6 linked regions of the Bombyx mori genome follow. The protein of the gene in region 4 purifies or fractionates together with the protein of the main gene of each other region. This does not show direct contact. Links are inferred from orthologs where the notes say so. Each region holds a gene or a part of one and is shown on either strand. Other genes may lie near its edges.

Region 1 (4,906 bases), on a different chromosome or scaffold from region 4:
GAAAGATACATTTTAAATTTTGTAATTCACAATGATGTGATGTCTTTGGAAACATCGCCCTTGTGCATTCTGACTTTTCTTTGTTTATGATAAATTATTTAAAATATTGCATTGGGTGCAAAGAATTTGTAGGAACTTTTCTTCCAGCAAATCTTCATTATCACGTTCAATATTTCCCATTCATTGTTTCTTTGGTGGTATACTTTTAGAATTACTTGTATTGTATATATTGTCTTCCACAATATCTTTCATTACTTTAAAATCACAAAAATCATGCTAATAGCATTGGGCTCCACTGCAGAGTTACAGAACAAATGACAGTTATCTCTGTAGAGGAGCTACTAGGGAGAAAAATCTAGATATGCAGTAGCTGTCTAAATTTTAATTTTTTTATTGCTTAGATGCGTGGTCGAGCTCACAGCCCACCTGGTGTTAAGTGGTTACTGGAGCCCATAGACATCCACAACGTAAATGCGCCACCCACCTTGAGATATAAGTTCTAAGGTCTCAAGTATAGTTACGACGGCTGCCCCACCCTTCAAACCGAAACGCATTACTGCTTCACGGCAGAAATGGGCAGGGGGTGGTACCCACCCGCGCGGACTCACAAGAGGTCCTACCACCAGTAATTACGCAAATTATAATTTTGCGGGTTTCATTTTCATTACACGATGTTATTCCTTCACCGTGGAAGTCAATCGTGAACATTTGTTATATTATATTGTAATTTAATTATATTGTAATGTACTTATTCAAGGGGAAGATGGAGACATAATGGAACGACCCCAAACAAATATAACTGGCTTTACAATATTTGATGAGCAAGGACATTTGTGTCCAATTGATGGTGGTTTGGTAGAAAACGATGTTCGAATTTATATGTCTGGATATTTAAAGTCAATTTGCTCTGATTCATCAGAGATTGACGAAGAATCCATTCCAGTTAAAGATGTAGGTCCTATAATAGAATGGTATGTATCTCACTTATCATGACCACATAAAAAAAATCTTTTTGTTTGTTTGTTATTTTTTGTGAATTATTAATCTTCTAATTTACATACCATCAGGTTCATACATGGTTTCGATGGTGGAGATAGGAACTGTATAACTTTATCAACGGAATTTGGGGAATATAACTTGCTCAAACCTAGTGAAGCTTATACGCCCCTAATGAATAATTTATATGAAAAAATATGGCTTAGCAAAGTAGTCGTCGAATTCTTAGAAGAATATCACTACTTGCAACCGAGCTATGAAGATTTACTTGAAGTTGTAAGAGATTTTTCCATTCCTGAACTAAATAATAAAAAGATGACAGAAGAAATGCTACATAAACATGCCCAGTTTGTTTGTGATCAAGTAGTTAGCTTAGAAATAGAGGAAGATGATGAACCATTAATAACATTACCTTGTATGAGAGAACTTATCAAATTAATGGGCATAAAATTCGGTAAACGAAAAATACGTACCCAGATACAATACAAAAAAACAGATAAGAAAGCATGGACAAAAGCTACAACAACTCCACTTGTAAGAAAAACATTTGAAAGTTTTTTCTCAAATCAGTTAGACAAAACCAATCACGAACTGGTCTTACGAAGAAAACGATGCGGGGTTTGTGAAGCCTGTCAATTGCCTGATTGCGGCGAATGTAATGCATGTCGTGCCATGGCTAAATTCGGTGGTCATGGAAGAACTAAGAAAGCATGCGTCCGTAGATTATGTCCTAATATGGCAGTAGAACAGGCAGAAGATTCTGATCCCGATGATGAAGATGAGTATCAGCAAATATCTGAGAAAAAACAAGACAAAATAGATGATGCAGTACCAGTCAAGCTCACTGGGTCAAATAGTAAAAATTTAAAATGGATTGGTGAGCCTGTTAAAGCTGATGCCACAAAAATATATTACGAAAAAGTTGAAATTGATGGTGCTGAGCTGTGTAATGGTGACTTTGTCATGATTGAAACTTCCCAAACAAACATTCCTACACTGGTCGCTAAAGTTGTATACATGTGGAAAGAAATCCATAACCCGAAATCAGGCTATTTTCACGGAGAAGTCTTCATACGAGCCTCGGACACAGTTTTAGGAGAAGTGAGTGACCCAAGAGAAGTATTTTTGGGCGACAGATGTTGCCATGGTGCTCCGCTTTCTTCCATATTAAGAAAAGCGAATATAGAAAGGAAAGAGACGTCAGCAGATTGGTTTAAACTTGGCGGGAAAGAAGTAGACGACGAACATTTCGAGGATGATGGAAGAACTTATTTTTATAGCAAGTATTACGACAGGTTCACGTCGCGTTTTGAAGATTTACCTCCAGATCCAGCGTGTCCAAATGCTTTAAGAAAGCACAGATTCTGCCCATCTTGTGAACGTAAAACAAAACGAGATGCAAGAAACATTCCTAAAGTTTTTGAAAAATTGATTGTGAAATCCGAAATTGTTTCAGAACAAAACAGGTCGGAATGGTCATATGTAAAATGGCAAGACTTTGACTATAAGAAGGGTTGTGGTGTTTTCCTAAAACCGGGAACCTTTAAACTAAAAAATAGTATGACAAAAGCGAACACTGTTGCCAAACCGCGGTTTGAAAAAGTCGATGAAACTATTTATCCTGAATATTATAGGAAGAACGATTCTAATACGCGTGGGTCTAATATTGATACCGGGGAACCTTTTTGTGTGGGTTACATAGCTGCCGTCACTGCCGCGAGTGAGGGACCTCTAGTTGTACCGCAAGATATTTACCTGAAAGTGAATGTGCTGCTTAGACCTGAAAACACGAGCAGTAAATTTCCGCAGCACGAGGACACTAATGTTTTATATTGGACAACTGAAATAAGGGAGATTCCATTTTCGACCGTCGTTGGGCATTGTCATTTAATTTATGAACAAAATGTTCCCCAAAATATTTCACTTCAAGAATGGTTAGGAAATGATCCGTGCAGATTCTACTTCAGAATGGCGTATTGTAAGTCCACGGGAGAGTTCACGGATCTCCCGCAGAATGCCATCAGTGTTGGAAGAACAGATCGTACTAAAGATAAAGGGAAGGGGAAGGGAAAATCTACAAAAACTATTGAAACGGTTCCCGCTAAAGTTGTAGAGGAGAAAATTAGACCGTTGCGAACTTTAGACGTGTTTGCCGGTTGTGGGGGCCTATCAGAAGGCTTGCATCAAGCTGGAGTTGCAGAATGCAAGTGGGCTATTGAAAACGTGGAAGCTGCTTCTCATGCTTATTCATTAAATAATAAAAGTTGTATTGTATTTAATGAAGACTGTAATGCACTTTTGAAAACTGTAATGTCTGGTGCTAAGCACAGCGCGAATGGACTGCGGCTCCCCATGCAAGGAGAAGTGGAGCTTTTATGTGGCGGGCCACCATGTCAAGGCTTCTCCGGAATGAATCGTTTTAATTCAAGAGAGTATTCAAACTTCAAAAACTCATTAGTTGCATCGTATTTATCGTTTTGTGATTATTACAGACCTAAATATTTTATACTGGAAAACGTTCGTAACTTTGTGGCCTTTAAAAAAGGTATGGTTTTGAAACTCACTCTGCGAGCTTTGTTGGACATGGGATACCAGTGTACCTTTGGTATCTTACAAGCGGGTAACTACGGAGTTCCCCAAACTAGACGAAGGTTGATCATATTGGCGGCAGCGCCGGGTTACAATCTTCCGTTCTACCCAGAACCCACGCACGTCTTCAGTAGACGTGCTTGTACATTAACAACGACGATTGACGGCAAAAGGTTCTCGACTAATATTCACTGGGACGAGTCGGCTCCAAAAAGAACGTGCACCATTCAAGACGCCATGAGTGATTTGCCTCAAATATGTAATGGTGCTAATAAAATAGAAATCGAATATGGCTCCATGCCAGAAAGTCATTTCCAGAGATTAGTGCGAAGCAACGATGAGAATTCTAAACTACGAGATCACATCTGTAAAAACATGGCGCCATTGATTCAAGCTAGGATCAGCAGGATACCTACAACACCGGGCTCCGACTGGAGAGATCTACCCAACATATCGGTTACTCTCTCCGATGGCACTAAGTGCAAGGTATTTTTTTTTTATTGCATGTATGGGTGGACGATCTCACAGACCAACTGCTATTATGTGGTTACCGGAGCCCATAGACATCTACAACGTAAATGCCGACACCAACTTGAGATATGAGTTCTAAGGTCTCAGTCTAGTTATAACAGCTGCCCCACCCTTCAAACCGAAACGCATTACTGCTTCGCGGCAGAAATAGGCTGAGTGGTGGTATCTGCCTACACACAAGAGGTCCTACCCCCAGTAAAAATAGGTAATCAATGGACTAATTTATTTCTTGAATGCATTCAAAATAAGCAGCAGTCATTGTAATACAAGTTCATTTTATTGTGAAGTCATGTTTCCACTTGTCTTGAGATAGCCCTTTAAAAAGAGGCACACAAATGCCCTTGGAATAATTGTTTTTTTTAAACGTAATTAAAATTAATTGGTTTATTAACTGTTTAGTATCTGTGAAACTGCACAAATATGAGAAAATATAATAAAGCCGCTGAACGTAACTTCACGGGATCCTCCAAAAAGTACCCTGAAAAAGTCTCAGTAAATGACCACCATTTTACTGAGATTATATTTCATCCCATATCATCGCATCTCATTTCATTTCATAATATCATTTTTCATATAAAAAAGTTTTCATTAAAATTTAAATTAAACTTGACCTAAATGTCTTAGTTACCAGGTCATAAAATCAGTTTAAAAACAAAAAAGGATGAACATTAAAATAAAATAATCGGCACATCTATTTCCGTTACATTTTACATCAGTATTTCGATATATAAGATTTTACACTACTTAAATATGTTATTTCGATCAGGTTCTACAGTATCGCTACGACGAC
Region 2 (5,038 bases), on a different chromosome or scaffold from region 4:
GAGTCCCGGCGCGCCGAGGGCGTGCAGCGCGTGCGGGCGTGGCGCGGCGACCAGCTGGCGGCCGCGGCCCGGGGGCGCCGCTGGGACCGCCTGCGGGTCGTGTGCGCGCAGCCCTACAACAGGCACTGCCAGGTACCATGCGCCCCGGTTGCCCTAATAACTATCTATCTAACTAATATTTTATAAGTAATATATAATAAGTATTAAACACTACTAAAACCCGCGGTCATGAGGATCGCTAATAGTAAAACATAATTAAATTTTTTAAACATCATTAAAATAACGTAGGGTAGGACGTCCTCCTGCTAGATAAAGTGACGACCTGCGCAAGGCAGCTGGCAGTAACTGGATGCGTAGAACCGAATATCGGGTTCAGTGGCGAGTTTTGGGGGAGGCCTATGTCCAGCAGTGGACTGCCGCAGGCTGATGAGGATGAATTAAAATTGTTACATTAGGATATAAAAATAGTTTTGCTGTGTCTTCGATTCGCGAGACCTGGCAGAGATGCTATTGATGATATTCATAAGAGTACATATTCATTTTTATAAAACTGTTCATGGCTTCAAACTAATATAACCTTTCAGTTCGGCCTCTCGTTCTTGCACATCGACGAGCCCGGGGACGGACCCCCGCCCGCGCCGCCGCGCCCCCTCGCCCTGGACACCTTCTCGTCGGACGAGGAAGAGTTCAAACCTGGGGAATTATTCGCTAAATACTACACCCAGAAGGATAGTCCGCTGAAACTGGGGGACGATAAAACTAGCAGCCCGGCGAGTACAGGTAAATAGGTTTTAAACTGAGCGGTGTTGTCAATAAGGTCGATAATTCAACAGCTGCCAATTCTGAACCACAATTTTCATGTTCTTGGATATAATGTTTATAAATGAATACCTAATATTAGTCAGTTAGGAAACGAAGTTCAAACACGGTTCAGTAGAACGGCTTGTCGCCCCGGGCTGCCCCGGCCGGCGCCGGCACCCGGGGGCCGCGGCACGTCGGTGTTTGCCCCGGGGTTGCTCTATAATTTTATTTATTTACAATATAAATTTTATTTAACTTAATATTATTTCCGTTTAAACTTTAGACGAGTGCTTAACTGCGGGTACGTCTCGCAGCTTTCATACAGAATACAATTTTCAGAATCCCAAATACACAAGGCGACGTCCCGCGCGCTCCGCAACGTTCCCGGGGACTCCCCCGCCGCCTCCCCCGGCCTCAGCGCGGCGGCCACACTCCGACAGAGCAAACAGAACAGGCCGGCCGGGCGGCGCCGCTCCGACAGCGACGGGGACGCTCGGATGCACGATGAAGAGGACACCAGACACCATGCAAAAATAGACCAAACCGTTAATAGACATAAGGGTGACAAGATGACCGATGACAATAGCGCGGGGGACCCGGTGAGCTAGATTTGTCCACCAGATGCAGGAGCGGCGGAAGCGGCGCGGAACGCCTGTCGCGTTGTTGCCGGGAATATATATTTGGTTGAAGGACGGGCCAACCCGCGGTGAACAACCCGTTGACTTCACAACGCGAATGTTGCCTGAGACGTGAGGTCGAAATGTCAATTGTATTGTATAATAGCCTTCTCGTTTATAAACTGGAATACGGATATAGGCAAGACGGCGGTACCCAGTGTCCGTAAGTCGCCTTTCGACGACCCGGCTCACGGCTTGCGGTGACGAACAGACAAATAAGGCTTATCCTATTATACTGTATTAGTCATCAGGGGTGATACTGATGTCCATATTGTGTGATCACAGAAAGAAGTCCAGAAAAATATAGACAATATATCATCGAGAGCAAAGCGGGTGAAGCGAGACGACAGCGCCGGGACCGCGCCCGCCCCCCGGGGACAGCTCGGTGAGTCGCCCGGGCCGCTACACTCCACACCTGACCGCTGGTGTCATTAGTATATGTTACAGTCGCGTGTGTCGCAGCGGACGTGCTGCGCGGCGTGCGCTTCGTGCTGAGCGGCTACCAGAACCCGCTCCGCCAAGAGTTGCGCCGCGAGGGGGTCGCGCTGGGGGCGCGCTGGGAGCCCGTCTGGGGGCCCGCCTGCACGCATCTCATGTACGTGCCCTCCGACCTCCCGACATGTTGTAATGTCCGTTGTGCCACGTGGAGTACAGCGTCGTGTCGCCGGCAGATGCGCGTTCCCCAACACGCCGAAGCTGCAGGAGGTGCGGCGCGTGGCGGGCGGCGCCGTGCCCGCCGTGCGCGCGGACTGGCTGCGAGCGTGCCGCCGCGCGCGCCGCCGCGTGCCCTGGCGCCCCTACGCCACGGAGCCGCACCAGCGCACCGCACCACCACACGCTGCAGGTTCACGCACCACGCCGACAGTTCGATTGCTCATTCATTAATAAGAACAGACGGACGCCGCTACCAATATTTTTAAACCACAATACAAAATTAATTATTATTATTATTTTTTATTTCCTTTGTAGGCAGACCAGCATACGGCCCACCTGATGGTGAGTGGTTACCGTCGCCCGTGGACTTCAGCAATGCCAGGGGCAGAGCCAAGCTGCTGCCTACAAATTAGGCAAAAATGTAATTAAAACGTAATTTTGACCAATTACTTGTCGTCCAGAAACTGACGAGTCAGCGGACACCGACGAGGAAGTGCGGGACCGCGGCCGGGCGCCGAGCCCCCCCGCCGGCGCGACAGGGTCGAGGGGGGGCAGCGGCGAGCCCGACGTGCAGTTCGTGTGCGACGAACGAGTCAAGGCGTCGCTCGCGGTCGAGTCGGACTCGGACGAGACCGACGCTGGGGCCGACAGCGGCGCCGAGCACGCGGCACGTACACTCTATTACTAACGGATTAGTTAGTAATAGAGCTCGTCCACACATCTAAGCAATAAAAAAAAAAAAAAAATTACTTTTTTTTTAAATATTAAGTATTGTTTCCAGATAGACGACAGCAAGTCGCTGCCGGCGTTCTTTGAGGGAGTAACGTTCGCGGTGGAGGCCGGGGACACACAACTGCGGGCGCGCTGCTGGCGCTACCTGCGGGCCTACGGGGGGCGCGTGCTGCAGGTCGCTCGTGCTGCAGGCACAACAATATGACATGCCCTTCTTCAAACGAGGCTTGTAGAGAGTACTTAACGATAGGCAGCGGCTTGGCTCTGCTCCTGGCATTGCTGAAGTCCATGGATGACGGGAACCACTCACCATCAGATGGGCCGTATACTCGTCTGCCTACAAGAGCAATAAATTTATATTCTTATATTTATATTTATATAAATTTATATTAATTCAAAATAGTTAAAAAATTTCATGATTGTCACATTTCCTCTATGATTGGATAAATATACATATTTTCCTAATTTTAAACAAATGTACATTTTTCAGAAGTCTCAGCTGGATGAGGACAGCCGCGTAGATTACGTGGTGTGCGACGACGGCGCCGCGCCGCGAATCAAGGGCCGCGCCGTCACTGCAGCCTGGCTGTGGAAATGTCATCAACAACGAAAACTGTGTCCAATATAACGACAGCTCAACTTGTGAATTCCTTTCATTAAATAACTGTCAGCTAACAACGCCTTTTCTTTCACAAATCTCAGTAAATGACCACCATTTTACTAAGATCCCATATCATCTCATTTCATTTAATTTCATTCTAGTTGATTAGGGTCAATTCCCACTGAAAGAGCAGCGGCCGGCAGCGTCTTTTTTAGGCAAAATATTACAAACTATTTTGAATCTTATCTACGTGATTAAAAAGTTCATAGTCATTTGAAGGCAAAGGAGGGGTAGCGTGACGTCGCGAGGCTGCACGAGCCTTCTACCGACTAGTCAAAAGAGGCGCCGCGCGGCTGATCGCGGCGCAGCTAGCTGACGTGCGGCCGACCGCGGTGCAGCTAACAGACTCGCGGCTGCGCGCGAGCGACCATTTCATACCCGCCCGCCCTGCCGCTTACGCATTTCGCGTCATTTTATTAGAGGGTATCAAGTTAGAACGTGCTACGCTCCGTGAGAAAAAAATGTACCCAAAATTTTCTTTTCCTTTTTCTTTCCGTTTTGTTTGTTACTTCTTGTTCTTCTTCTACAGCCAGTGCTATGATACATAAATCCAAATCCACCATATTTATTGCCACACAACTTTCCTTGAGTGAAGTAGATCGCACACTAGTTTTCAAAGCTACTACGCGGAGGTTCATTGCGGCGCCTCGGGATGCCGCGCTGCCTCTCGCGGCGCCGCACTGCCCCGCGCGGCGCCACACTGCCCCTTGCGGCGCCGCGCTCAATCACTTGCTCTTACGGCCGCTGCGCGCCGCTGCTCTTTCAGTGGGAATTGACCCTAATGTCTCAAATTAATCATCTTCATTTTATTTCATTTCACTCCATATTATCATTTTTCATAAAAATAAGACATGACTTAAAGGTCTTAATTACCAGTTCATAAAATCCCTAAAAAAATTAAAATTAGCAGAGATAATACCTACAATATTCTCTTGTACTCTGTGTTTCTGGGTTTGTAGTTTTGGTCGAATTAAAAATGGCTCTCAATATTAGTGTGAAGGTCCATCCTGTTGTTTTATTTCAAATTGTGGACGCATACGAACGTCGAAATGCAGATTCTCACAGAGTTATCGGCACCTTATTGGGTTCGTATTGATTTATAAATCATGCAATAACTATAAATTCAAAGGACATTAGTTGTCAACGTCATGTCGTGTACCAAATTTTATGAGTTGTTATTTAAAAGAAAAATCCCTAAATGCTAAATATGTACGTCAATTATCATTACACATTTCACTTTGGCTTTTCCACATCAACGTTATAGTTAATTTGATAAATTCCTTGGTCACATAAGCCAGGTGCAATACAAATGTGTAAAGGCGTTGTAAGGTTATGTTGTGCTGTTGCTGCAGGCACGAGCGACAAAGGAGTGGTGGAAGTAACCAACTGCTTCTGCGTGCCACACAAAGAACATGCCGATCAAGTCGAAGCGGAACTTAATTACGCGATGGATGTTTACGAGCTGAACAGAAGAGTCAATTCCTCTGAAAGTATTGTTGGTGAGCTATACCTG
Region 3 (5,476 bases), on a different chromosome or scaffold from region 4:
TAAATCTGAGTAAACACTAAATTAACGGATAAAAGTAACTTGATATATTTTTGCAAAAGATCCTGTTTAGATGGGGACCGAACTCAAGGCCCAGTTGGAACCTGTAGATATCACAATAATGTGAATATCGCCACTTTAGCACTCGAGGTCTAAGTCTCAAATAGTTGTTAAATGACAGCTTCGCATGATTGCTTCGTGACAGGAATAGGCCTGAAAATGCAGTAAAATATAAAGAAAGTTTTATCTGACCGTTACAGAAACCAAAAAAGTACAGACCTTTACTGGTGGTAGGACCTCTTGTGAGTCCGCACGGGTAGGTACCACCACCCTGCCTATTTCAACCCTGAAGCAGTAATGCGTTTCGGTTTGAAGCGTGGGGCAGCCGTTATAACCATACTGAGACCTTAGAACTCTTAACTAAAGTTGGGTGGCGGCATTTACGTTATAAAAGTCTATAGGCTCCGGTAACCACTAAACACTAGGTGGGCTATGAGCTCGTCCACCCAAATACGCAATAAAAAAAATGTTAAAAAAAACTTTCAGGTGAGGCTTTTTTTCCTACCTAAGCTGATAGTCTTGAGAGGCTATTTCAGCATAACCCTAACAAGTAGGTGAGCTCACGGGGCTCAAACATAATGACGTTGCTAACACTAACCCTGGCAAGAGCAGTGCGCAAGCAGCGGATTCGACGGAGAACGATGACCGGCAGGTGAGCCCTAAGTTTATTTGCCACTCAATAAATCTTAATCATAATTTGGTATTTTTCAATGTTCATCTTAGAGAGTCTTAAATGAATTATAGTGCCACCTATTTAAATTATAATAATAATGGTAATGGCTGGGTAATGTCTAAATATCTTGTTTTAATCCATATTTTTATGATTCTCATTTTATCATCTGCAGAACTCATTAACAAAGCCAAACAAAGCCTTTGGCCTTAATAGAAAGTAAGTAAGGTCAGTGGATATTATTCTTAGGGACATTAGTTAAAATAGTGGTGTATCTTATCTAAGATATGCCGATGATACAACAATCCTTGCAGCCAGCGAGTCCGAGATGGCTGCGATCTTGGAGCGAATAGAGAGAGTTAGCCTTGAATTTGGCCTGCACATAAACCGCTCTAAGACCAAAGCGATGACGGTGGACAGAGCTCAAGTTTTAAGTCCATCAAATGCGCTCAAGGATTATGAGAAAGTGGAGGAATTTATATACTTGGGGTCGCTGATCTCTAACAGTGGTAACTGCGAGAAAGAAATCGGACGCCGTATCGGGATGGCTAAAAGTGCCATGACTAGCCTCAATAAAATCTGGAAAGACCGTAATATTCGCCGAGTAACTAAGATGCGTTTGGTTCGTACGTTGGTCTTCTCTATCTTCCTGTATGGGGTGGAGACTTGGTGTCTCAGGAAAAAGGAACGCAAAAAGATCGAGGCCTTTGAAATGTATTGCTGGAGAAAGCTGCTACGCATTCCTTGGACAGCTATGAGAACCAATGTCTCCATCCTCGAAGAGCTGAAGGTCACCAAGCGCCTGCTGACTATGTGCCAGGAATGGATCCGGAGTTTTTTTGGGCACATAATGCGATCCTCATTGCACAGCCTGGAGAAACTCATAATTCTCGGACAAATAGAGGGAAAGCGCGCTAGAGGAAGAGCGCCAGCTAGATGGGTGGACCAACTCAAGGAGGTGACTGGAGGCCAGATACAGGGAGCGGCACATATGGCGCCTTTACACTCTCAGACAATATCACTTGTACTTGTAATGTTACTTGTAATTGAATATGTTAGATAGTGAATTAAAGAATATTTAATATTTATTATATTCTCGGCTAGATTCCCTTCGCCTATCCACTAAACAAATTCAAAAAAATCTATAAAATGGCGGGAATTAATTGAGACTTCTGTCTGGCCAAACTCCAAAGGGACATTTTGGTTAAAACTGTTAAAAGTTACTGAAACAAAATAAATCATCATCTTTTGGAAGATAAAATATGTGAACCTATAGTCGGATTTTTTATTAGACGAAGTCAACTGACGTTTACTGTGTTGTCAGTTTTTGATGAAATAAAAATAGTGTTGTGACAAAGTGAACGATTGAAAAAACTCCTGAATTAATGAAATTGCCTCGATTGTCTAGTGAACAGTTGGTGTGCCGAATTGCCGATATCGGGTACGGGGTTCGAATTTTAGGCGTGCTTTGTACATACCAACGAGTTTTCGACGAAATATTATGTTCCTATAATATCTACCTGTACTGAATACCGAGTGTTTTAAACATTAAGAAAAACATTGCGAGGAAGTACTTGTAAGACTGTCCTATTTCCAATACATCATATAGTTGAAATTATAGATGTATAAAATATAACAATTATAGGTAAGTAATGAAAATAAAAAAGCTGATTGTAGTTACATACTACTAGCAACATATATTGGAGCACTTTAATACAATTTTATTGTAAAATATAAATAGTACTCTTTTATAGTTTGAAATTAATGATTAACTCTTCACACTCATTGTTCATTCGTGATTGAACGAGAACTGAACGCATCACTATTACTTTAAATATAGCAACATTATTTCACAAAGTGACATTAGCTACTGTCAGCTAGCTTCGTCTAATTAAAAATCCGACTATAGTGGCTTACTCGCTTGAAAAAAGTTTACAGGAATAAGAATCAAAACTAAAAAAATTAAACCATACTACCTTTTCTATTAAGATCGGTTCGGAATTGTTTAGTGCATTGTACTACTGCTGTTACTAGAATAGTCTTCAACTAACAATTTTGACCTCTACTTTAAAACAATGTGGAATGGTTTGTTGTTTTATCATTTACATGGTTATCTTTATAGTTTTTTCTGTATTAATTAGAATTTGTTACATTCAGATGATCCTTCTGGAGGTGGCTTCCTTAACACCACAAATCAATTTGGAAATACGGCAACACCCAAAAAAACTGTAAGTTTACAAAAAAATAAAATTCAATTGATTACGAAAATTTAATATATTAATAATACATTTATTCACAGGGTCGTAGAGCGGCACGGACAGCACCTATAGTCATCAGGCAAGCTTTGCATTCTGGAGAAGAAGGTGTGAAAATATGGGGTACAGAAATTCAAATAGTGTCAATAGTTGCAAGAATCAGGAGCATTAGAATGCAAAGCACTAAAATAACATATACAATCCAAGATATAACAGGGAGGATGAGGGCTGTACTCTGGCTCGACCAAGAGGCTATGGAAGTTGAAGTAAGTGAAAGTTACTTCCAGTTTCAGAGTAATGTCAATGTAAACGAAATCATTAATTAAAATGAGTTAATCCATTAATCATGTCCACAATCATGGTAATAAAAAAAATAAAAAAATCTCAAAGTCAGATTAAGTTATTAAACTTATTCTGTGCTTTTTGAATATTTAAGTATATGCCATTTTGATTCTTTAGATATTGAGTATTTTACATAAAAAAAAACAGATATTAAATCTTTCTGAGCTTCAATTTCAGGATACCTCATCACCTAAAGTTCAAGTAAATGATTACATACAAATTTACGGCAATGTGAAAACGAATAAAGGGACAAAAGTGCTCATGGCATTTAAGATAATGCCAGTTACTGATGTCAACATTATTACATTTCACTACTTTCAGTGCATTCATAATAAAATACAAATGGAAGCTGGCTCAAAGAAGGTAATTCTAATATACCTGGTAATCTTAAAATTTATTATTCGCATTTCCATTCACCATAGCTAAAGGCAGAAGTAACTACTTATAACACAATATTTTGAGGGGTTAAAGACTATTTGGTTTAAGCAACATTTAGCTTAATACACATGAATTTTGTATTTGAAATATTTAGTTCTTGTATGTAACAAAAAGAGTTGATAATAATTGTCAGATATTTTTATTACAGTACAGTACATAAAAATATGTCATAGTATAGTATTATTTGTTATTGATTCTTCAGCAATGTAAATGATGTCTTCTTCATCAGCAATGACTTACCATTTCAATTTTCATATAAAATGAATTTCAGCACATCCAACATGCTTCTCCTTTTTTTCAGTTTTATTTTAAAATAATAATCTACTATTTTCAAACTTGAACCCTTTATTCTGATAAAGACAGAACTACAAATTTAGTTATCATTCAGCTCTTGCTAGTGCATTTGAGTTGCATCATTGCTGTGGATTATTATGTCCCATCATGAATGGTGCTTCCGCCTACATGTTTTTTGCTATACATTACTTCATAAATTGGATTTTATTTTGCAGGAAAAAAATATTCAAGATGTCCCAATTAACAACATGCTGCCTGCAAATTCAATGGTTGGAATTACTGAAACCTCTTCAGTGAATGGCTTAAATTCTCGTCAGATGATGGTCTTCAACCTTATCCGTGGCTCTACTGTTGAACAAGGAATTAGTAAACAAGATATGTATGCCTCACTGAAAGATCGAATGACAAAAGTTGAATTTGAGTATGTATTTTTTAATCAACATACTAAATTTTAATTCAAACATTTTTACCCCAATAAATTATAACTGATAACTGATAGTAAATGATAACTTAAAAATAGAGTTGAAAGGAAAAAAATAAAGCAGTTAGATTTTAAATAAATCATCACAATCAGCCCCTTTTCTTAGGAGTTTAGTGACAAACACACATACAAAAAGATTAAATCTATCTTCTATCTATCTATATATAAATTATTTGCTGTTCGTTAGTCTCGCTAAAACTCAAGAACGGCTGGTCCGATTTGTCTAATTTTGGTCTTGAATTATTTGTGGAAGTCCAGAGAAGGCTTAAAAGGTAGATAAATATGAAAATCCTCAAAATTAAATAAAAATAACAATTTTGTTTTTACTTTGATGTGTCCCTTGTCGGACGAATTCCTTTTTTTTGTTTTAAGTTTCTTTTATACAAAAGTTTAGGTCTTTTATTTATCGATTGAGGCACTACAAAGTCTGCTGGGTCAGCTAGTATAATATAAAAATTTAAAATTAAGTATAGAAAAATTAAAGGGTTTTAATTTTTTTATGATTACTTGCAGAAACATTTTGGAATGGATGTGTGGAGAAGGTCATATCTACTCAACAATTGATGAAGAGCATTTTAGAGCAACTGATGCATTTTAAAAGTTATATATTTCATTTTTTAAAACTTTTATGTAATAAATATTTTGTACCAATTTTTTGTTATTGCTCTAGTTGAGCTAATTTTAAACCTGGTTAGTGAATAGGTACCAAGAGTGTTCCAGGGGTACACCAAAATCAGAATTATTTTATTCAAGTAAGTATTAATAGATACTTGAATCAGCAGGACTTCCATCTGACCCTGTAGACAACACATCCTGAAACAAGATCACCAATTATACAAAGCGAGATTTTCACTTTGTGTAACCAGACCCGCGGCTCCACCTCGAGGACGCCCGACCGACGATTCATTGAGGCGATGATCGACCACCAATGATGCCGGT
Region 4 (4,906 bases):
AGTTGAAAGAGGACAAAGCACTTGAAAACAAAATTGAAAAACAAAACAAATTGTTTGATAAACATAGAAATGCTTTAATGAATACAAATAAAAATGATGTAGAAAAAATTTTGGAGTACAATTTACAGGGAATCCCAACAGGAAAGACTGAGGTGAGTCTATGCACTATACAATAGTTTTTTTGTGACTACCGTCACATGTAACAGGTGTCAATATAATTGACCTCAACAAAGTGCAATCAAAGTAGAAAGAACTCCGTTTTAGTGTCAAATGGTTTTTTTCTACATACATGTGTAACACAGAAATATTTTTAGGTATTTTATTATAATAATAATAATTAACATCTTTAGTTTTGTACCACTGTATAGGATTCGTATTATATTTATTCATTGTTTATTTTTCAGTGTTTTGATCGTTTAGCAGATTGTATGACATTCGGAGCTCTCGAGGCCTGTCCTGAATGTAAACAAGGGCAGTTAGTTTTAGATACCCTTGGCTATAAATGCACAGGTATCTTTGTTTTTTCTTTTTTTATCTCTATTTTCTTACCTACCTTGTGTTTAGTGTGTTACCTGAGTCCATATACATCCAACCTGAATGCAGTACCACAACTCTCATAAAATACCGGTTAAAATTTCGCATACACTTGAACACATATATGAGCATTTCTCAAAATTATTGCACAATAGACTTTAGCCTCTGTCCCATTTTTTTAATATTTTGTTCCGGCTAATATATTAGTTCATTACTACTTTTTATAAATTGTGTAAGCAGTATAACTACTCTACTTATTAGAAAGGAAAAATAACAGATATAAATACAATGAGATTTTTTCATTAAAAATATATATGTATCATAAATCAGCTTCAACCAGTTGTATGAAAAGTGCAGTGTCCTAATCTCAATATCTTACCAAACCATCGATCTTTAGTTGAATGGACATGGGCATTGTATAAATAAAAAATATTATTTATTTATAGCCATAAGTCACAATTCATCCTAAAACATCCTTTTTAGCATTACTTTAAGTATAATTAAATTTCTAATTAATGATTTTAACTTGTCCCGTAAAAAGTTCCACCTAGAAATTCCAGTTTTTGTTACCATAATGCTGAAGAAATATGAGAATCGATTAATGCAATTATATTTTAGAATAATGGTAGCATTAGCCGGCTTGGCATCCGTCTTGTTTTAATTTCGACTAGTTCTTTCTGGTGCCGGTACGAACGGTAAAAGTCAATATTTAAGCTAGCGGTCAGAACAAAATTCCACCTTTGTTACTCATAAAACATAGATAAGTGCAGATTTTATTGTTATTTCACTTAACCTACTATTAAAGCTCCCATTCTTGATTTCGTTAATCAAATCGAAATAAGAGTAATCGTGTGAGTTGCATGTGTTTACAAATAAAATGACATGTTGTTCTTGATTTGTTACTTCTTTTTTTGTTACTTTTGTGTGGTAACGTATAAATGGAAAAGAGAGTAACAAAATAGGAAATCATTAGGCTGAGTATATATAATATATTATTATTATTATTTAACTTTCTGTTTGCAAATAATAATTATTGCAATTACAACGGCGTCAATTTCTTTGTTTTTTTGTTGTACTATTACAGATTTGTACTATGAAATAGATTGGGAGTTTTTTGTTAGTATTTTTCTATCAGTTTGATTAGTTTATTTAAAAACAAATGCGGCTTTTAAATATCTGCTTGTTTTAATCTAAAAGTGCGATCATAGTAAAGAGAGAACTACTGCATGATATTCCTTCTGATGTGGTGGGCTAAATTTCAAAATATCTGTTGTTCTGGGTAACGTAAAAAAAGGGTTCTTTTACACTAACACTTTTTTTTTCCTACCTATGCTGATAGCCTTGAGAGGCTATTTCAGCTTCACCCTAACGTTTGTAGGTGAGCTCACGGGGCTCAACCGGAGAGTTGCTAACACTGACCCTAGCAAGAGCAGTGCTTCGCAGAACCTACCACCGGATCGGAAACGCGACCCACTGAGAAGATCCGGCGAGAAACTCAGTGGGCTGTGTCTATGGGGTTAATTCGCTCGTCGAGCCCTTCGTTCGCCAAGCGACGGGTTCGACTCTAACCTCTGCTGAAAAAATGAGGCGCTACCGCGAAAGCCTTAAAGAAAATCCACAAAAGATGGAGGAGCAGCGAATACGAAACATAGAAAGGATAAAATCTAAATATTTATATAAATCAGTAAGTGAGATGTCAGAAGACGAAAAAAATAAACAAAGACAAAAGTGGCGTGCCTGTGTTTACACCTTGGCCTATCATGGCCTTTTTCTTCGACACATTTTATCAAGGCACCGATATGTTATTCCAGATTCGTCTAACAATCCGCTGCATTTTGTATCAAGTATGAACGCTGTAGAAATAAACATATTATTACGTTGTCCATTTTTCTGGTGCCAAAGATGTGATTATAATTTATACGATCACTATCCAGCCGATGAATGTGATTATTGCTATTAAAGGTTTTTACTGAATTAGAAACCGTTAGGCCTCCGTTTCATTATGATTAAAAAATAACTGAAACGATATTTTTGTTACCTACTCGTAAATGTTCCTAAATATTTGAATGGGGTATTTTTTAAACGAAAAATGTTTAAATGTCCTTTGACAGCAGTTCATGCTATAATCTACATATGTAAATATAATTATAATTATTTTTAACACGGGTCAAAGTTTATTATAATTTGAACTACTTCGAAAACTAGCCTTATAAAATCCTAGTTTGTTACCAGTATTCCATTTTTGTTACTGTCCCATAAAAGCGGACACGTATTTCTTTTCAAATTTTTTATTTATTATCTTAAAACCTGCAATTTTTTTTAAAAAAGCAACAGAAGTGTATTGTTATTTCATTTGTGAACGTATTTAAAAATAAAACAACATCAAAACTTCTTTACTGTGATTTTAAAACAAAGTTGTGGGGAAATGGTAACGTAAAGGATATATTACAACTTATATAAGTAACATTTTGCTGTAAATGTTAACAGTTTTTTATAGACACGTAAAATGATGGTTATGTCACCCTATTGAAATGCATAAAAGTTGACGAAATTGATTTGGTGTTTTAATTAACGTAATTGATAGACGGTAACAAAATAAGAATATTTCTCCGCCCTTGGTATATTTGTACACATTTCTCTACTTTATTACATATTAAACCTCAGAACAAACCTCATATTCAAAATCTATAGACACCTATCTACAAATGAAAACAAAAAAAATGCTTTAGTTTAACATTTTTATTTTTGTACATTATTTTATTGGTGGTGCATTTATTTTGAGAAATGCTCATATAGGTATACCCTTTCGAATCATACTATGTAATGTAAATAAAATTTTGACGTTAGACAACTGTATACATAAACCCCTTAAAAATTAGATATACACACATTCTAATTCTGAAATAACTGTTATTCCAATATAATAATAATAAATAACAAGTTAAAATAAATAATAAATCAGGAGTAAACTTTTAGAGTAATCTGTCTTTTCAATCAGGTAATTTGAGCGAGTGGACCAAATGTACCTATCAAACTGATAAACCGAAGAGGAGGGCTCTGAAAATACCAGAAAAATACAAAGAGCTTGATTGTTTCCGCTCGTTTAAGCCCACGGTCCGCACTCGTTTGTTCCACGCTCCACTTCCATCACAAAACTTTGTTGTGAAACAAGAAGAGACAGAGTAAGAACTACCTTTTTTCTTTTTCTTTCAACTCACAGACACCCTCTGCTGAATATTGGTCTCCCCCTTTCAATTGTTTACAATTCACAACTCTCGCATTTATGTACCTAGTTGTTTTTTAAATTAATATTTTTTTACATAATAAAATCCTTATAAAAGATTGTTCATCCGTGCTTTATGTTCTTACCCGGGCTTTGAACGCATTATATCACTACATAGTATAAAACAAAGTCGCTTTCTCTGTCCCTATATCCCTATGTATGCTTAAATCTTTAAAATTACGCAACGGATTTTGATGCGGTTTTTTTTAAAAGAAAGATAGATTAACATCCATTAAATAGTGGAGAAATCAATTATAAATTACAGTTTCCGAAGCGTAGCGAGGACGGGTCGCTAGTTGTGTATTTAACATAACTGATCACACAAACTCGTTGCTAAAATCAAATTTATACCACGTTGCGTAATTTTTTTAATACGGTACCTACCTTCTAGTCGCGCCACTACTTGCCCGCCATCGATTAATTATTTATTCCTCTAAATTCCTTGATTTCCATAAATATATCAGTTATCTTCATGAATTACATTAATACATTACTACACTGCATATTAAATCCGTAATTGAAGCAGAAGCATCGTGACGTTAAAAGCAGGTTGAATATATAGTTATACTGTCAGCCAAAATAATGAACTAATTTAAATGAATTTGCGATTAATCTCCCGTTTGTATTCATTTCCTTTTACAACGTTTTGCTTACCGTTTTTATTTTCTTCGATACGAGCACTCGTCAAGCCTCGGAAAATACTGTCATTAAATTCAAAATTAGGTCACATTGACCAATTTCCACGCGTTCTTTTTCCTTTATAATATTAAAACATTTTAACAGGCCTCTCTAAGTATGCATCAGTGAAAGAAAAATTTATAACTTTTTTTCAGAGTAAAAAAAGAAATCCGTGTGCCGCCTTTGAAAAACTTGAAATTCTTCATTTACGGAACATTGAAGAAGAATGAAAAGGAGAATATCAAGAATCGCATTATCAAGCTCGGAGGAGACCCCGTCAGTAAACTGTCTGAAGCTACGGTCGCAGTCATCTCTACTAAAGCGGATGTCGAGAAAATGTCTTCTAAAATGCAATCCATACAATATCTAGATATTGTAGTAAGTACGAACATTTAAAGTGCTTTTATTGTG
Region 5 (5,691 bases), on a different chromosome or scaffold from region 4:
TTAGAAGTCGGTCATGAACAAAAACAGTCGGTTTGTTAAAATGATATCGTCATTTCCTTTTTACACGTGCCACAGAGTACATCCCTACTACTTGAAGTCAATGCATTCATTCGCCATGTATTTCTAGATGTAATTTCTACAATACCACCCGATTTTGTAAAAATTTTTAAGGGATTTTATGACCTGGTAACTGAGACCTTTAAGTCATGTCTTATTTTAATTTATATTCATATTTTTATGAAAAATGATATTATGGAGTGAAATGAAATGAAGATGATGAATTTGAGACATTAATCAACTGGGATGAAATTAAATGAAATGAAATGAGATGATATGGGATGAAATATAATCTCAGTAAAATGGTGGTAATTTACTAAGATTTTTTCAGTGGACTTTTTAGAGGATCCCGAGAAGTTACGTCCAGCGGCTTTATTTCATTTTCCCACATTTGTGCACTTTCACAGATATTAAACAGTTAATAAACCACCATTATTACACATTTAAACCTGAAGAAACACTAAATAGACAAAATAAAACAAATCACACAACTTCACTCTTCGCGTTCCCGCCAAAAAGTCCCCGATTTTGTAATAAGTTACGGTGTGGTTATTAAACATAATTTACTCCTCTGACATTGTTTATTAAGCAAAACGTTTCGAAGAAAAACTTTCTGTCCTGCCTAAATCTCACTATCCTACCTGTCTCGAGTAGTTATGTTTGCGGCATTAATTGTTTTGTTGAAATTTTTGCCGCGACGCAAAGGATGAAGTTGAGTTAACAGAAAACTTCAATTGTGTCAGCTCTGGTGAAATTGAAAACTTATGACGGAACGTTGTGTTATGAACTTCGGTGACCTTGAAGGATGACTGTCCAAGACTATTTCATCTCAGTCATCCACGCAAGAAGAAAAAAGTTGGATTAAATACTAAAGCCACCAAGTCTATGCAATGCTGTCATAAAATTAGTACCTACAAACTCAAAGTCACATAACCGCTATAAACATGATTGTACTACAATATCCGATAGGTGTAAATTACACGAATGTTTCATTCATAGTTTTATTCATTCACAAAACGTGTGTAACACCCGCGAAAAGTATCGGCGGTGTTGCCAAAATTACAAACTGAATCACGCAAAACAAACTTTGTTAACGTTTAGCGACCATTATAATTTTATAACGCCTCTGGGGTCGATCTCGGCCAAGGATCGAAAGAAAAAAAAATCCTTCCGCAAAGAATTTAGGAGTGTCCGAGACTCAGACCAAATCGGACTCGTTATAAATTTTGTGAAGATAACAATGCGTGCGTGTGGGTGTGTGGTACAGCGCTGACGAGTATAGTTACGGCACGCAATAACGCTAACAAGCGTGCGAGCGAGAAACATTTACATTTGTAGGGCGGCATCTCTATCTTGCCGTCGGCAACATGGCGCGCTGACTCGGGCGCAGGCTCGAATCGTATCGCCTGCCCACTCAAGGTTCGCTGACTGCCGTTCTTTTGTTTTTAATGTTGCCATAAAAAAGACAGGTTCCCAATTCTTGTGTGAATAAAAAACTTACCTTTTTTTTCATTAAGTAATATTTCAGCTCAAGAATATTGAGAAAATACAACGACATCGTAGTATGTTTCAGTATTTTAGAAAGAATGAAACAATCAAATGATAATTATATATAAGTTTCTCTTGAAATCCAAGAACCATTACTAGATTTCAAATATTTTAAGCACTCTCGCTTTTTATTAATAATAAATTTATGAGTAACGTTTTGCTTCACCTGTACTTCCGATCTTCGACATTTCATAAATTTTATTATGTGGTATTAACTTAGGTACTAAACGTTTTAAACGCTTTCTAATTTTTTTTTCTTTTTATTGATGCACAAAACAAATTACAACCATAGAAATAATAATTTTAAATGTTTTAAATGGCCTGAAGAATTGGTTAATATTACTTACCTACTTATTTCGTGACAATAACAATTAGTTTAAATTATAAACTACAATTATGTATTGAGCTCGATTATATTTAATTAATTATAGGAATGAAGCCTGTATTTACAGAACGGTGAGGAGAAGCGGTTCGGATTCCGGGAACCCTGGACCGCAGACGAAAACAGCGTCAAGCCGAGGACCTGCTCAAACCGAACGTCTGCATACCGATCGTTGGTTTTTTGTAAGCTTGAGTCGGTGCACACCGAGCTGTATCTGTGCGAGTGAGACGAGCCGAGTTGTGTGCGTGTCGGGCGCCTCGCCGCTCTCGCGTGCAGTGTACCCGCGACTCCCGGCCGGCCGCGGCCCGTTCGCGCTTCTCCGTCAAACTGACGCCGATAAACAAAATAATGACCAGTGTACCACATTACGTGCATCGCGAGTGCAATAAGCGACGACAGTGTGTGATAACGAGAATGTAACGTGCGTGTTGTGTCAAACGGATAGTGAAATATTTCAAATATTGGAGTTTTAGGCGCGTGGAGTGCGCCATGCTCGCAGTGTTTAGGTATGTGGAGACCGATTAATTATGGCCCATCAGTGTCGAAGGGGTCGGTGGCCTGCATTTTCGCTACCGGCTCTCGTTATTTTTGTAATCGGTGACAGATTTCGCGTGAGTCTAAGACCGCGGCGTGTGGCCGCTGGCGTGCTATTTACACGTTATGTTTTCGTTTACACGGTCGACCGTGAAATATTTTCTGTCCGCATCCGTTTGATTTTTTCGTATTTTACGTGCATCGGACTCAGTCCGCCGTCCGTTATCAGTTTCGTCGAAGTGTGTCGTGTAATTTACGAAGTAATTAATCTGTTATCGCCGCCGGTGTAGCGATGTGAGCGCGTGAGCATTGAACTTTGCATCTACTCGCGTTAGTTCTGTGGTCAAGTTTGAAAAATACCATGTTGCTGCTAACTATAGCAGTCAGTCTACGACTAAATCGTTATTTGTGACTTTTAATTCAATGTCGTAAACATATACTTAGATCTTAAAATCAAATTGTATGTAGATAACATAATAATACGAAATAAAAATGAAAAGTACTTACCTAATTAACATTCGTAACGCGAAAACTAGATTCCTATCTCGCATACAATATTGTTGATAAAACACATTATCATCTAGTAAACTCCCTTGTATTCTTTTATTATAAAAGTAAACAAATCAATTTCATAACAAAGACACATAGGTATACCCAGTGGTCACATATTATACGGTAAAAAATAAATAAATAAAAACATTTCCGTTAGATACCTATATTTTATACTCTATGGTCAGTTCGATTATAATTTTAGTCTTTACATACTTTTTCAGTTAAATACCTAATACACTTTTTAAATTATACTTATGTTCATAATACTATTGACTAAAGTAAGTACACCAAAACAAATAACAAAATACATATTTTTATTATTTTTTACCATTGGGTAACACTAAATAATCTATGGCACATCTTTTGCGTATATACCTGGATTTAATTTAGTATTACAATTATTATATATAACTACGAAACATACACTTCTTAGATACGTAATTATACTTCTTAGATACGTAATTATACTTACTTACTGAGAAAATTAACTCTTGCAATGAGTTTTTTCACGTAATGATTCATTGGCTACATTAACCACATTATTATGTTCATAGTTATATAAATAATTGGCCGTGATTATTGCGTTGATCTTAGGTATTGAAATTAACGTAAACAGACCGGAAAATAGTGTGAAAAATTACAAATAGTCGAGTTTTTATCGTGCTTAAACTCGACAAATGTTCACGATTGACTTCCACGGTGAAGGAATAACATCGTGTAATAAAAATCAAACCCGCAAAATTATAATTTGCGTAATTACTGGTGGTAGGACCTCTTGAGTCCGCGCGGATAGGTACCACCACCCTGCCTATTTCTGCCGTGAAGCAGTAATGCGTTTCGGTTTGAAGGGTGGGGCGGCCGTTGTAACTGTACTGAGAACCTTATATCTCAAGGTGGGTGGCGCATTTACGTTGTAGATGTCTATGGGCTCCAGTAACCACTCAACACCAGGTGGGCTGTGAGCTCGTCCACACATAGGCAATAAAAAAAATTTATTTAACAATACCGATGATTCGGTTCAACTAGCTACACTTATTCGAATAATCTTCATTTGAAAATTACAACATTTTAAACTAACGTTTTTTTTTTATTTATAAATAACGTGTTTGGAAATGCAAGTACGGATCTGAAAATGGCGGTTCGAAATGGCGCCATAGGCTTTTAAATACAGTGCAATATATTTCTACGTACTTTTTCCCGTCGGGAAGAGAACAGCGAGATTTCCGCGCTATTGAAATGTGTGTATGTTTTATTATTACAGAAGCTTAAACTTAACAATTTTGTTCGTAATATGTTCTCTGTTAGTATAGTATGTGTAAAAAAAATGGGAAAATATGTCAGATTTTCACCAAAAAAAAACCAAACTGTTACAATTCCGAAACAGGTAGAAAACATTCAACTAAAAACTTTATTGTTACAATTTTAATTAATTGAAAAAGTGCTTTTGGAATATTCTTATTAATACAGATAGAATATCAACATATTAAAGTCGGAAATTAACCTCATTTTAAACTACATACTTTAGTATGACAAATGGTCTAAATATTATTTTTGTCGTCGATAGACGTGCGTACGGCCCTCCCGATGGTACTATTTCAGTTGTGTTTTTTAATTTTTTCTGCCAATCGACAAAAAAATGTGCAAGTACAGAAAATAGTTACTTAAAGAGAAGAGCGTATTTTTTTAATTATGTGCATTTAAAATGTGCATAATCAAATACAAATTTTAGAAGTAATGGTGGAAGTTCATCTGTTAATTTCAATAAACTTTTCAATTAAATATATTTCGTAAAAAAATGCAAAATTATTGAATTGAATAAATAGCCTTTGATTTAACTAAACTACATTTGCAATCGAAAAAAACCTAAAAAAGGCATATTTGTAATACCTACTCGTATAAAAACGTCACGCGTCATTCCCGGTGCATCACCAAAAACATATTTCTACCAAAATAAAATGAATAAAAACCTTTTTGATCTGCGCACTATTTACCATAAAAACTCAAACGCTGACAAATATAGCGTGCTAGCAAAGCAATGTTTTGTTTAGCCAATATAGTCAACGGGTCTACCTGATGTTAATATCACATATGACCAGTTCTTGTTCTATTAATCTCTGAATATACAAAATATACATAAGAAAGTGCAGAAAATACAGAAGTAAAATGCAGAAAATGTTTACTTTTGATAGATTACTTAATTCATGACAAGCTGTCTTATGATTGAAGTGTAATAAATAATTCTTGAATTTCTTAATTCGGCAAAAGTTTCTAGTTTCACCAACATTGGGTCAAGGGCTGTGCTATCCTTCAAAACTGGAAATAAAAATTGGTTTGCGCCTCTAATAGACAGGTATATTGCCCGTGCGAGCTCTACCAATACCTAATATCAGAACTGAAGGCTTAGGAATTTGGGAGTTTGATAAGTAGCGCGTAGAACACGGGATAGCTTAACCTTACTCGTATTTTCTAATCAATAGTCGTATAGATTATTATCATTATAATATTGCTGCACATTGAGGTTGGTAAGAGAATGTTAACTATTAATATGGAAGGATATAGAGGAAGAGGTAGACCTAAGAAGAAATGGATGGATTGCGTGAAAGACGATATGGGTAATA
Region 6 (5,030 bases), on a different chromosome or scaffold from region 4:
AATTTCTACCAATAGATGGCGTGACATATCCAACCTAATTCAAGCATTGTCAGAAATAATTTGTCACATAACATCTTGATAGCATTTGACGTTGATAGAGGCTACCCCTCAAACATTTTAAATAATTCGAAACATAAGTGATCAAATTAAGCTGGATAAAATTCGTCAAATCATTTTTAGTTCGATATGTAATTGTGAATGTTCTTTTTTGAGGTTATATTGGTTTTATGGATTATGTTTAAAGTTGTGAGTGTTATTGTGTGGAATAACAGTCCATTTTTACGTAAAGTATCATTAAGTTCTGTTTTTACCAGACACAAGCGACGATTTCCAAGAAGCAAGTTGGTTTTAAATGACTTTCCATTAACAGTCAGTTTTTTATATTTTTAGCGTGCACTTTATATTTTAATGTTTAATACAGGTGGGAAGAAGAGAAGACCGATGATGGAACAAAATGGACATTTTTGGAACATAAAGGCCCTGTGTTTGCTCCACCTTATGAACCTTTGCCTTCCAATGTCAAATTTTATTATGATGGTAAAGAGTTGAAACTATCTGAAGATGCTGAAGAAGTAGCAGGATTTTATGCACGCATGTTGGAACATGATTATACCACCAAGTCTGTTTTCAACACCAATTTTTTAACTGACTGGCGGAAAGTGATGACTCCGGAAGAAGCTAAACTTATTAAAGATTTGTCCAAATGTAACTTCAAAGAGATGCATGCATACTTTCAGAGTGTATCTGAAAAAAATAGAAATCGATCTAAAGAAGAAAAGGCTGCTTTAAAAGCCAAAAATGAAGAAATACAAAAAGAATATGGATTTTGCACAATAGATGGTCATAAAGAGAAGATAGGGAACTTCCGAATAGAACCCCCAGGGTTGTTTAGAGGTCGAGGTGAGCACCCAAAAATGGGGAAATTAAAGAGACGTGTTATGCCTGAAGATGTCTTAATCAATTGCTCAAAAGATAGTAAAATACCAAAACCACCTTCAGGACATAAATGGAGAGAAGTAAGACATGATAATACAGTTACATGGTTAGCCTCTTGGACAGAGAATGTTCAGCAGCAAGCTAAGTATGTCATGTTAAATCCCAGTTCAAAATTGAAGGGTGAAAAAGATTGGCAGAAATATGAGACTGCTAGAAAACTTCATAAGTGTATAGACAAAATTAGAGAAAATTACCGTGCTGATTGGAAGGCAAAGGAGATGCAGGTGCGCCAAAGAGCAGTGGCACTATACTTCATTGATCGATTAGCACTTAGAGCAGGTAATGAAAAAGATGATGAACAAGCTGACACTGTTGGTTGCTGTTCATTAAGAGTAGAACATATCCAGTTACACAAAGAAAAGGACGGTAAAGAATATGTAGTAGTGTTTGATTTCCTTGGTAAAGATTCAATAAGATATTACAATGAAGTGCCAGTAGAGAAACGTGTATTTAAGAATCTCGAAATATTTATTGAGAATAAAAAGGACAGTGATGATCTCTTCGACAGACTTAACACACAAACTTTAAATGAACATTTAAAAGACTTGATGCCAGGTTTGACTGCCAAGGTATTCCGTACATACAATGCTTCTATTACCCTACAGAAACAATTAGATGAGCTCACTGATGGTGATGCCTCTGTGCCTGAGAAGATTTTAGCTTACAATAGAGCAAACCGTGCAGTTGCCATCTTGTGCAACCATCAACGTGCTGTACCTAAGGGTAAGTGTAACTTTTGTTTAAATGATTTGTTTCTTATGTAAAATAAATTGGATATGACATCCCCAATTAAACTGATTCCATTTCTTATAACTATTTAAAAACTGTTAAAGTGATTCACATATTTTATTTAAGGACATTCTAAGTCCATGGAGGCTTTAAAAGAAAAAATTCAAGCTAAACGGGATCAAATTGATGAGGCTGAAGAAGACCTTCAACAAGCATCTAAAGCAGCAAAGCGAGGTTCTGTTAAAGAAAAATTAGCATGTGATAAGAAGAAAAAGGCACTTGAACGTCTCAAAGACCAACTTAAAAAACTGGAACTGCAGGAAACAGACAGAGATGAAAATAAAACCATTGCCCTTGGAACATCGAAACTGAATTATTTGGATCCACGGATTTCAGTAGCATGGTAAGAAAAATGAACAAAATAACATTTTTTGCGCCTATAATGACAGCATCCAACACAATAATTTCGAAATGTTGCATGCTATTAAAATTAAATGAAGGGTTCAGCTCTCAAGCAGGTGGCAGGTTCTCACCTGTGGAATATCTGGAAAGACTACGCTGGTTCTCGCTACTAGGTGACCATCTGCCTTTTCTGCTTTTGCTTTCATTCCTGCCACCCTTAAATGTATCTGACAACCATGGCGTGCCAAGGTAATTTGATATTCTGCAACTAAATTGCATTCAAGTAGGACATGAGCTGCTGTCTCACCTAACCCCATGAAGGCTGCACAGAGTGATGCCAATAACTAATAGATGTTTGTTACAAAGACTGATCTATCAGCAAAATACCATGGGTACAGATAAGCTATAATCCAGTTATATAATAAAATTAACTATCTAATTTACAGGTGCAAGAAACATGGTGTTCCAATTGAGAAAATATATAACAAAACGCAAAGGGATAAGTTCCGATGGGCAATAGACATGGCCGGGCCAGACTATGTCTTCTAGTTTCAATTTTAGAATAATTAGCAGCTCTATTTTTATATGTTGAATATAACGTCCCAATTATACAAAATGATGTATAAAATCAGTTTTATGAACTTACATTTTACAAAGTTTACTATGTGATGATGTATTTAAGGTTCAAGTAAAGTTTATGTATTAAAAAATCCGAACATTGTTCCTTCTTTTTTAAATTAGAAGTCTGATTCTAATTATTTTATTTAGTTTGGACTTAGTTCTCGATCCCTTTTTAGGTTATTTAGACTAATATGATAGTTCAAGGAATTCTAGTTTTAAGATTTTGTGTAAGACTTGCAACTTGGTCAAAAATTTGTTCTCATTTACAAAATAACATTTAGCTAGCCATAATGATAGTATTATCTGAAAATAATTCTTATAATTAAATTACAAGTTGCTAGTCACTTTTATAAAGAATGACAAAATGTTGTGAATAAGTCATTGTGATGTGTAAATACACATTGTAAATATTAGTGAGGCTCATAGTTCACTAAAGTTCAAATGCATAAATAATAATGTTGAATGTGCTTGTGAAAATACTATTCGGTATTGTGAATAGTGAAGAAAACTTAACTAAGGCTAATTTAAAAGAATATTGTATCGAAAAGCAAATGATGTTAGAAAACACTGCAGTGGTGAATCATGTAAAATAAAATAAAATGTAATGGTTACTTTATTTTTATAAAACAAAAAGCAATAGCTATATAAGATTATGAAAGGTACAATTCTGTAGTGTGTTATATGTTCATCTTGTAAATATAAAATTTTTACCATGTCATAAAATTGTGAAATGAGATTATCCTAAATAAAAAGTGACATTAGGAACGATGTCTTTATTTATTTTCAATATGTTAATCGCCTTCGTATTCCTTCTGAAAATAATCACCTTCAACTCCTGCTGGCAAATAGGTAAGTCCAGATTCTTCCTTACTCAGGAGATTGTATCCACTTCCATACCCTGAAACAGTCATAATATAGGTACTCTAGCGCTGTATTGAGTGCAGATTGGCTTTCATATCAAATATTGATGATTTATAATAATAAGGGTTAATGTATGAAGTTGCCGTTTTATTGTAATAGGAAATTACTTCGAATTGATATAGAACCTTCATGGTTTGAGAGTTAGTGAAACTTTTTTTCAAAAAGTACCTATGAGGTTCTTCTTTTTAAAAATGTCCAGCATTCGATCATCAGCTTTTAGAAGATTTTTTTATTCAGTTTAGACAAGAAAGATGGATACTTCGAAAATTCGTGTGATTGTTGAATACAAGTTCCGACGCGGAACTAACGCTGCAGAAACAGATCGCAATATCAATGTTGCGTTTGGAGAGGGGACTGCTAATGAACGCACCCTGCGATTTTGGTTTAAACGCTTTCGTGATGGAAATTTTGATGTGAAGAACGAACCACGTGGAAGTCTGCCCACACATGTGAATTACAATGAATTGAAAGAGTTGGTGAAAGCGAATCCGAGCCAAACCGATCTGATCAAGCAATAACGGCCGATGTCTACTGTGCCGAACTCCGAACAATTATAGCAAAACTTGCAGTGAAACAGCCCTCATGAATCGATCTTCACCATTATTGCTCCATGATAATGCGAGACGTCATATAGCACGAGAACCCGAAATTAAATAAAGTAATAAACAATATATGTCCGGCATATTTCACACAAATCTACAAAGTCATGTATGCTAAATCGAAGTACGAAATAAATGTTTTCTCTATGAATAGGTATTATTTCATTAATTTATGTTGACGAAAGAGAGTTAGCGGCCAGGGTGATCACAGTTGCTTAATATCAAGAAATTCATTTGTATTTATATACTTTGTAATTCGAGGACAACATTGAACTGCCTTAAAACATAAGCCTATCTGACCAAGACAATACAGATACAGCAAACTGAGGATTTTTAAATATTTTTGTAATATTGAAACAAAGCCAATAAACTCGTAGGGTTAAAGTTAATTAACTGCCTAATTGTTATAATGGCAGCATAGTTTAGATTATGAATACAAGTTTATTCAATTAAGTCTTTCTCACGAAAACTTGAAATTCCATTCAAAACAAGACGAATAATGGGTACAGTTTTGTTGTAACAATTACCGCATAATGGACAATAGTATTTATTTTCGACTGCCAGTGCCAGAGGCATTAACTTCAGATATTTTGATTATAATAGTTACAGACCCAGAACACGCTCATATTTTTAATTGTTAATGAAGTTTTAAATTAAATACTGTCATATTTTTAGGTTTTCAGCGAACTAACCTATTTGCTTCATTAGCTTGGTCGGTGCATTCCGTAAATGTAATGGAACTGGTGGGAGAGGACCTTTAGT

The links.
Region 1: the proteins of poly [ADP-ribose] polymerase (region 4) and Dnmt1 purify together in Homo sapiens (affinity purification with western blotting; 4 studies listed by BioGRID and IntAct, with this or other methods). This does not show direct contact. The link is inferred for Bombyx mori from reciprocal best matches to the Homo sapiens genes PARP1 and DNMT1.
Region 2: the proteins of poly [ADP-ribose] polymerase (region 4) and DNA repair protein XRCC1 purify together in Homo sapiens (affinity purification with western blotting; 9 studies listed by BioGRID and IntAct, with this or other methods). This does not show direct contact. The link is inferred for Bombyx mori from reciprocal best matches to the Homo sapiens genes PARP1 and XRCC1.
Region 3: the proteins of poly [ADP-ribose] polymerase (region 4) and Rpa2 purify together in Homo sapiens (affinity purification with mass spectrometry; 3 studies listed by BioGRID and IntAct, counting the BioPlex papers as one, with this or other methods). This does not show direct contact. The link is inferred for Bombyx mori from reciprocal best matches to the Homo sapiens genes PARP1 and RPA2.
Region 5: the proteins of poly [ADP-ribose] polymerase (region 4) and protein pangolin, isoforms A/H/I/S purify together in Homo sapiens (affinity purification with mass spectrometry; 3 studies listed by BioGRID and IntAct, with this or other methods). This does not show direct contact. The link is inferred for Bombyx mori from reciprocal best matches to the Homo sapiens genes PARP1 and TCF7L2.
Region 6: the proteins of poly [ADP-ribose] polymerase (region 4) and DNA topoisomerase I, mitochondrial purify together in Homo sapiens (affinity purification with mass spectrometry; 4 studies listed by BioGRID and IntAct, with this or other methods). This does not show direct contact. The link is inferred for Bombyx mori from reciprocal best matches to the Homo sapiens genes PARP1 and TOP1.

What each region holds. Positions count from the first base shown.
Region 1 is NC_085114.1:6,734,250-6,739,155, reverse strand, and holds part of Dnmt1 (DNA cytosine-5 methyltransferase), read left to right. Parts: intron 1-757; coding exon 758-971; intron 972-1,067; coding exon 1,068-4,071; intron 4,072-4,882; coding exon 4,883-4,906. UniProt on the Homo sapiens protein: Methylates CpG residues. Preferentially methylates hemimethylated DNA. Associates with DNA replication sites in S phase maintaining the methylation pattern in the newly synthesized strand, that is essential for epigenetic inheritance.
Region 2 is NC_085124.1:493,073-498,110, reverse strand, and holds the end of DNA repair protein XRCC1, read left to right. Parts: coding exon 1-132; intron 133-584; coding exon 585-780; intron 781-1,140; coding exon 1,141-1,400; intron 1,401-1,763; coding exon 1,764-1,863; intron 1,864-1,925; coding exon 1,926-2,073; intron 2,074-2,149; coding exon 2,150-2,322; intron 2,323-2,593; coding exon 2,594-2,799; intron 2,800-2,913; coding exon 2,914-3,039; exon of another isoform or gene 3,040-3,045; intron 3,046-3,354; coding exon 3,355-3,492; 3' UTR 3,493-3,542; downstream 3,543-5,038. Other genes in the region: eukaryotic translation initiation factor 3 subunit F, read left to right, coding at 4,502-4,610, 4,878-5,024. UniProt on the Homo sapiens protein: Scaffold protein involved in DNA single-strand break repair by mediating the assembly of DNA break repair protein complexes. Negatively regulates ADP-ribosyltransferase activity of PARP1 during base-excision repair in order to prevent excessive PARP1 activity.
Region 3 is NC_085114.1:7,172,109-7,177,584, forward strand, and holds Rpa2 (replication protein A2), read left to right. Parts: upstream 1-1,863; 5' UTR 1,864-1,999; intron 2,000-2,634; 5' UTR 2,635-2,802; coding exon 2,803-2,812; intron 2,813-2,884; coding exon 2,885-2,955; intron 2,956-3,026; coding exon 3,027-3,248; intron 3,249-3,501; coding exon 3,502-3,687; intron 3,688-4,271; coding exon 4,272-4,477; intron 4,478-5,050; coding exon 5,051-5,135; 3' UTR 5,136-5,167; downstream 5,168-5,476. UniProt on the Homo sapiens protein: As part of the heterotrimeric replication protein A complex (RPA/RP-A), binds and stabilizes single-stranded DNA intermediates that form during DNA replication or upon DNA stress.
Region 4 is NC_085128.1:12,949,792-12,954,697, forward strand, and holds part of poly [ADP-ribose] polymerase, read left to right. Parts: coding exon 1-152; intron 153-404; coding exon 405-510; intron 511-3,532; coding exon 3,533-3,716; intron 3,717-4,650; coding exon 4,651-4,873; intron 4,874-4,906. UniProt on the Homo sapiens protein: Poly-ADP-ribosyltransferase that mediates poly-ADP-ribosylation of proteins and plays a key role in DNA repair.
Region 5 is NC_085133.1:3,888,443-3,894,133, forward strand, and holds the start of protein pangolin, isoforms A/H/I/S, read left to right. Parts: upstream 1-1,858; 5' UTR 1,859-2,493; intron 2,494-5,691. UniProt on the Homo sapiens protein: Participates in the Wnt signaling pathway and modulates MYC expression by binding to its promoter in a sequence-specific manner. Acts as a repressor in the absence of CTNNB1, and as activator in its presence.
Region 6 is NC_085110.1:12,994,426-12,999,455, reverse strand, and holds the end of DNA topoisomerase I, mitochondrial, read left to right. Parts: exon of another isoform or gene 1-198; coding exon of another isoform or gene 199-341; intron 342-421; coding exon 422-1,719; intron 1,720-1,851; coding exon 1,852-2,128; intron 2,129-2,573; coding exon 2,574-2,676; 3' UTR 2,677-3,513; downstream 3,514-5,030. Other genes in the region: ATPase WRNIP1, read right to left, coding at 3,540-3,646, 4,961-5,030. UniProt on the Homo sapiens protein: Releases the supercoiling and torsional tension of DNA introduced during the DNA replication and transcription by transiently cleaving and rejoining one strand of the DNA duplex.